Mus musculus: one gene and its partner. The protein of the gene in region 1 purifies or fractionates together with the protein of each later gene. This does not show direct contact. Links are inferred from orthologs where the notes say so. Each region holds a gene or a part of one and is shown on either strand. Other genes may lie near its edges. The genes, in order: Rrm1 and Rrm2b.

Evidence for each region.
Region 2: the proteins of Rrm1 (region 1) and Rrm2b purify together in Homo sapiens (affinity purification with western blotting; 3 studies listed by BioGRID and IntAct, counting the BioPlex papers as one, with this or other methods). This does not show direct contact. The link is inferred for Mus musculus from reciprocal best matches to the Homo sapiens genes RRM1 and RRM2B.

The regions. Positions count from the first base shown.
Region 1 is NC_000073.6:102,458,404-102,462,222, forward strand, and holds part of Rrm1 (ribonucleoside-diphosphate reductase large subunit), read left to right. Parts: intron 1-985; coding exon 986-1,187; intron 1,188-1,887; coding exon 1,888-2,037; intron 2,038-2,226; coding exon 2,227-2,448; intron 2,449-3,203; coding exon 3,204-3,280; intron 3,281-3,819. UniProt on the Homo sapiens protein: Provides the precursors necessary for DNA synthesis. Catalyzes the biosynthesis of deoxyribonucleotides from the corresponding ribonucleotides.
Region 2 is NC_000081.6:37,926,641-37,930,261, forward strand, and holds part of Rrm2b (ribonucleoside-diphosphate reductase subunit M2 B), read right to left. Parts: intron 2,512-3,621; coding exon 2,398-2,511; intron 758-2,397; coding exon 605-757; 3' UTR 1-604.

The DNA of each region.
Region 1 (3,819 bases):
ATGAGTGCCACAGTGCATATATGGAGGTCAGGGGACAACTTGCAGGAGTTGGTTCTTTCCTTCCACCGTATGGGTCCCAGAGATCAAACTCAGGTTATCAGGTGTGGCAGCTGTCCCCCTGGCTCCCGAGTAGGACTTTGGTGATAGGAATCACAGTAACTAGGACACACAAGTTAAAATTAGCACAGCACTGAATTATGTTTTGTTTTGTTTTTATTTTTTTGAAGGTTAATGATAGTTTCATTAGCGTTTGAGAAAAACAAGAGGGCAGGCAAGCTATAAATATTATCAACTGCAAGGAGGGATCTAAAAGAGGAAGAGAGAAAGCCATGCCCCTTTAGGTTAGGGTCTGAGAAAGTAGGCAGCTTTAGCAGTGGTGTTCAGTGTGCAGCTGCATGTAGGAGGAGAAGCGACTTCAGAGAAAGAAAGCCAGAGCAACAGGGAAAGCAAAACAGAACAAAAAGCAAAAGTAGATGCAGGCTGCGTGGCAGAGGCTCTGTAAGCAGCTGCCAGTCTTGATGGTGGTTTTTGTTCCTTTTGGTTGTGAAAAGTAGTATTGACTGGGTGGGGTTAAGGGTCATCTGAAGGACTCTAAAGCTGCCTGGTTTTCTGTGGTCTTAGCGGATAGAAAATAGATTTCAGGGTTGGAGAAATGGTTCAGTAGTTAAGAGTTTTTGCACAGTCTTGAGGCCCTGATTTAGATGTCAGATAACTAGATGACAAGCCAGGTGTCCTGGAAATACCAGTAACTCAGCTCTGGCTTCCGTGTGCCCAGGCATGTGCCCAGGCATGTGCCCTCACAACACTCATGCACATATACTTAAACAGACACACAAATAAATAGAACCAACCTTTTTTTAAAAAAAAAAAAAGTCATTCATTTTTTTCCCTCATTAGCAAAGCTTTGAGAATTTGCCTAATTTTATATTTTTCTGTATTCTTCCTAGGGTGTGAATGTTGAGATAATACTAGCTTTGTCTTTCAGTTACGAGAAGCAGGGTCGTGTCCGAAAAGTTGTAAAAGCTCAGCAGCTTTGGTATGCCATCATTGAGTCCCAGACGGAGACCGGTACCCCATACATGCTCTACAAAGATTCCTGTAACCGGAAGAGCAACCAGCAGAACCTGGGAACCATCAAATGCAGCAACCTGTGTACAGAAATAGTAGAGTACACCAGTAAAGATGAGGTAGGCGGAGAGACTGACTGCCTAGCACACCGAGGGACTGGAGAGGTGGTTGCTGCTTGTCGCTCCCTCACTGAACCCAGTGGTTATTTGAAGTGGTTGAAGGAGATTTTGTTCCCCAGGACTGAAAAGAAATTTTGTGGTGGAGTTATGTTAACTAAGCTGCATTTTAAAAACAATAATTTAAGTACCCGGGAGCAAGGAGAACGGAATGCACCAGGGAGTACAGTTAAGAGCTGGGCAGTGGTGGCACACACCTCTAATCCCAGAACAGAGTTAGGCAGATAGATCTCTGAGTTTGAGGCCAGCCTGGTCTATAAAGTGAGTTCCAGGACAGCCAGGGCTGCACTGAGAAACCCTGTCTCGAAAAACCAAAAGACCAAAACCAAAACCAAAAACCTATTTCAGTATTCTGAATAGTGCAACTCATGTGACTGATAGCAAGAGGAGTAGAATCCATGGGGTATAGAAATTTGCTGATAAATGATGGGAAACCATGATTTTAGGGGGTGGGGATTTTGCTGAGTTATAAAGAGGTTCCCAGTAAAGACTAATACATTCCTTGAGTTTGGTCCTCTGCACCAGTGTTGGGGTGATTGTAAGTTTTCACATCTGATTGTTCCAAAGGCTCTAGTGATCTCACTGATACAGGAAGAAGAAGTCAGGAGTGTGTGTGATTCTGACACCTTTCTCTGGATTGCAGGTTGCAGTTTGTAACTTGGCTTCTCTGGCTCTGAATATGTATGTCACACCGGAACATACGTATGACTTTGAGAAACTGGCAGAAGTCACTAAAGTCATTGTCCGAAATCTGAATAAAATAATTGATATAAACTACTACCCTATTCCAGAGGTATGGATAGATTTCTCTGCTTTATTGATCATTATTGAATCCAGATGGAGGACATTTGTCTTAGTCTGGCTGTCCCCAGAGTTGGTGTGAGAGAAGGAAAATGAAAAGGTTGTGTGTAAGTGTAGAATGTGGCCTTCTGAGTTCAGTGATGTTTTCTTTTCTTTTTTTCCTAAACCTTTTGGCACAAAGGCACACTTATCAAATAAACGCCATCGGCCCATTGGAATTGGGGTACAAGGTTTAGCAGATGCTTTCATCCTGATGAGATACCCCTTTGAGAGCCCAGAAGCCCAGTTATTAAATAAGCAGATCTTTGAAACCATTTACTATGGAGCCCTGGAAGCCAGCTGTGAACTAGCCAAGGAGTATGGCCCCTATGAAACGTATGAGGGATCTCCAGTCAGCAAGGGTGTAAGTAGATGGCTGATTTTCTGTTGCCTGTGAGTATGGGGAATGAGCTGAATGGCCCCTCCTCCATGGGACCTGGGAGGGTGTGCTGGGTTGTGAGAGGGTCTGTACAGATTTAGTTAAGGACCTTGAGATGGCATTGTTTTGGATTATTAAGGCCTAGATTTATTCAAGTGCGCCCTAAATCCAGCAATCCCTGTTCTGCAAGAGACCGGGAGTTATGATATTCCCAAAACCTGTTCGTTCACACTAGTAGACTAGGAGATAGATTAATTATCCATGGTCTGGGACACCAGGGACTGGAATCTGGGGAGGCCTCTTAGAGTTGATTTCCTTGCTGCCTTTGTCTCTTCTTTATAAAGATTTAGTTTTGAAGTTTGTTCTGATACTTAGGAATTCTAATATGTGATTATTTGAAATTTGGTATTCTAGGCCAAATAAACAGATGAAGGAAGCAAAGAGCAGAGTGTGCTTTATTATAAAAGGAATGTATCTCTTAAAATGTTTAATGACTGTTAAGATTTCCTAGTTTGTCGATCCTCAGGAGTGTGGTGAGGTCCCAGGCTGCTTCTGAGCAATATGCTTAATGGAGCCATGTCTAAGACTCAGTGCAGCTAACGTCCCTTAATGTGTTGACTACAAGATGCAGTGGCTGGAATGTGGGGATATGGCAGTTAGTTATTTTAAAAAAATTTTTTTGGTCATTGTTTTAAATTGCCCCAAAGTAACATCATAACTGTGGGGTATTTATCTCTTAGATTCTTCAGTATGACATGTGGAATGTTGCTCCTACAGACCTGTGGGACTGGAAGCCTCTCAAGGAGAAGATTGCAAAGTAAGGAGTGAGGTGTAAAGGACCCTGGAGGCCGGAGGCCGGGCTCTTCTGGCTCTTCAGGAGTTGGATATGCTAGTGTGACCTCTGAAACTTATAAATTATCTTCTGAAATGGGGCTAAAGTGACCTACCACAGAAATGGCTTTGGAAAGTATAAGAAAATAGTTACATGAAAGTTGTTTGGCATAGTGAAAGCCTTTCAACACACAGTAGGCATTTCAGTGGGAGTTGATGTTATTTGAGGAGCTGAACAACCATGCTAGTCAATTTTTTGTTTTATTTTGGTTTTGGGTTTTTTTTTAGATAAGTGTCTTACTATGTAGCTCCGAATGCCCTGGAACTCATGTAGATCAGGCTGGCCTCAAACTTGGAGATCCTCCTGCTTCAGCTTCTTGAGCACTGGGACTAAAGGCATGTGCCATCACTACCTGACCCAAATAGGTCTTCGTTTTAAAAATGTTTTTATTCTTTAATTAATTGATTTAATTTTATTTTGTGTGTGTGTATGTATGTATGTATGTATATATACACACACATACA
Region 2 (3,621 bases), on another chromosome or scaffold:
AGCAGGTGAGGCAGTGGAGATAAAAGTATTAGATAAACAAACTATTTCTGTATATTAGCCCTCTGGTCACCTCCATGAACTTGGGACTTACTATTATACAAATTTTACAGATAAATATCCTGACGTTTACAGTGACTAACTGACTTGCCAAGGTCACATCAAGGAGTAAGCCAGAATATCAAGCTCATACCTGACTCCTAAATCTATGCTCTTAATGCCATCTTAAGTGCTTATGACAAAAAGGAAAAAAAAAAGACATATTGGTCACACTTTCATTGTATAAATAAACTGAAGTACATTTAGATAAAATTAAATCATTTAGAATTTAGTTTTATATTTCCTTCTATTCAAATTCTCATTCCCTTAAATGAGATACTGAAAGTTTCAAAAAGACAAAAATAGATTGCTATTTACCAACAACAGGTTTCCATGTGTTTTGTTTGTTTTCGCTGTTCTGTTGCTTTTGAGATAGATCTCAGTATGTATCCCTGATCATCCTCAAACCCAGAGATCCACGTGCCCTCAGCTTCCTCTGAGGACTGGACTAAGGCATGTACTACCACAGCCGAATTCTATAGATTTTTTTTTTTAAATGAGGAGGGCTTTAGAAATCTGCATCCAAGGTGAAGACATTATCTGTGGTTTCGGCCATGACTGCAAATCGCTGATACTCAGAAACTCGTTTCTCAAAGAAATTTGTTTTCCCTTCTAATGAAATGTTCTCCATAAAATCAAAGGGATTTTCTGCCTGAAAAATCTGGAAAGAAAAGAAACGCCATTAGACATTCTAAAGAATCCAAATTAAATCTCACAGCAAGGGCAAAATGGCAAAACCCAGAGGGCAGGACTCCACTTCATAGTCGCCTACAGCCACACTGCTCCACTAAGGTACTGAGGGTTTCTGATGGCTGTTCCCAGTTTCATTTAAAGTTTCAAAGGTTTTTGCAAAACCATTTTTTCCTTATAAAACAAGTCTCTGTCCTACAAATTTTATGTATTTGTCTGTTTATCAGAGATGGGGCAGGTACCCCAGATTGGCCACAAACTTTCGATCCTTAGAAATGTTAGAGTTACAGATAAACATCACACATCTAATGTGTCCCTTGTATTTTAAAAGTAGATTAATGTATTACAAATGCTTTTGTAGAATCCAAAATAAATTCAAGACCACCCAGCCCCTCCCCCCTCTGAAGGGACTTCCAGACTGTATAGTTTCCGTGGTCAGAATGACCATGTCTCTTGTGTTTTGGTTCAGATAGTGCCTAGATTATTATACCACCCTGAGGACTAAGTTTAGAGACCCTGAATAATAACCACAACAAAAATAACAGTTTTCAGAAAAATTCCTCTACCCCACCCTACACTGAATTCTGAAAAAAACACAAACCACCCTGACCTTGTTGCTAGAATTACTCTGATGTTAATAGCCGTGACATAATAGCTGTGATGTTACTAGCTGACCCATAAGTTCAAAACATTCTGCTGCTTTGCTGAAAAACCACAAGAGCAGGCAGAGTGAGGGACTAGGCCAAAGGGTTACTTAGTCACCCTATACAAACCAACCAATGTCTGAAAGGGTTACTTGCTACACCAATTAGAATAAGCCAGCTAGCCGGGCAGTGGTGACACATGCCTTTAATCCCAGCACTTGGGAGGCAGAGGCAGGCAGATTTCTGAGTTTGAGGCCAGCCTGGTCTACACAGTGAGTTCCAGGATGGCCAGGGCTACACAGAGAAAACCTGTCTCAAAAAACAAAACAAACACACAAAAGAATAAGCCAGCTAACCTGTTGCCTAAATCTTCCCTTTAGAAGGTATAAAAAGTGTGTTCTTTGTTCATTCGGGGTCTCTCCTCTGGCCTGCGTGCTGAGACCGGTGGGGGGGGGGGGGGCAACATGTTGGATTAATAAAAACCTCTTGCGGTTTGCAGCGATGGCAGTCTCTGTGGTCTTTATGAGTGAGGGGTTTTTGGCAGACTCCAACACTTTCAGTAAAATTAACTTTAGAGACCTTATTTGCCTATAACATTTTATTGGTAGTATGGTGGTTTGAATGAGAATAGACCCCAGAGGCTCATATATTTGAATGTTTGGTTTTGAGCTGGTGAGCTGGACGTATGGACTGTTAGAGGAGGTGTGTCACTGTGGATGTGTTTTTTGAAGTTGTTTTCTCTGCTTCCTGTCTATGATAGATCAGGATGTAGCTCTGAGCCCCTGCTCCAGCACCAGGCTTGACTGCCTTCTGCTCTGCTCCCTGCATGACAGCCACGGACTCACCCTCTCAAACTGTAAACAAGGCTCCACCACGTGTTTTCTTTGATAAGCTGCCTTGCATCTTTTCACAGCAATGGAACAGTAACTAAAACCACTAGTCACATGTTTTAAAACACTTTATTTACCTTTGAGAATCCAAGTTCTCCAAGTAATCTGTCAGCTACAAACTCAATGTACTGTTTCATCAAAACACAGTTCATTCCAATGAGGCCAACAGGCAAGGCTTCTGTTAAAAACTCCTGGAATGCAAACAAAATCAGAATAAGGAACAAAAAAATAACAATAAAATAAGCATACATTTCCCAAATATAAAGTATTATGGTTGGAATCTGAAATGCCCCCTACATGTTCATGCGTTTGAACATTTGGTCCCTACCTGTGTAGAAAGGCCATAGAACCTTTAAGAGCTCAGACTTGGCTGGCAGAAATAGTTCGCTGGGTGTGAGCTTGAAGGCCTTTTCCCCATCCCAACTCTACTTGCTGGTCTGCCAAAATCTAAACAAGCTGTACTTTAAGCTCCTACTAGAACCTTCCTTGCTATGACAATATCTTCTGAGCCATGAACCAAAATAGGTACTTCTTCCCTTAAGTTTCTCACAGAGGAAGTGACTAACATGGAGGAGTTTAGAATTATTCATACTCTAGACACTGATTTTACTCAAGGCAAGGTATGCCAGAATAAATTTAACATGACACATGATAGTCATCTGTTTACAAATGTTTGGGATAGTATTAATCGTATGATTTCACATTCTCGGGGCACCAAAGTTAAGTAGAAAATAGCACATTACTGGATCCTTCAATGTCTAGGACCTAGCTTCTAGATCTCCTCAACAGAGAAGAGGAGAATGCTTTATCCTGCAGACAGCTCTACAGACAGCTCTACAAAGACCACCACCTTGGCAGCATGACTGCAACAGGAGCAGAGAGAGAGAGACATCGGTTCCAGAGAGTATGAGAATGGACAGACATGGATTTGGAGGTTGGAAGATAAACTGAAGTCCAACTGAAAGACAGTGAGTGGTAAAGTGGAAATGGAGAAAAGTGGAAGCACATTAACCATGAAATTCATCTTCAAAGTGGTAGAAGATGCCAAGATGTGCAGCCTTCCCCTCACAGCATGAAAAACATCCTACAAAGTACGTACTCTTTAAAAAGAAGGTAAGTAAATTTCATTTTTAAGTTAGTTCTTACGAGTGATACAAAACACATGTAAGTAGATTATCAAGTTGTCTCTAGTCACAAAGCTTTGCAGGTCCTAAGCTAAGTTTACCTCACTAAGTCACTTACTTACTCATTTTGTGACTGTTTAGTTTGTTTTCAGCTAGGCAAACTGCTATGTTATTGAA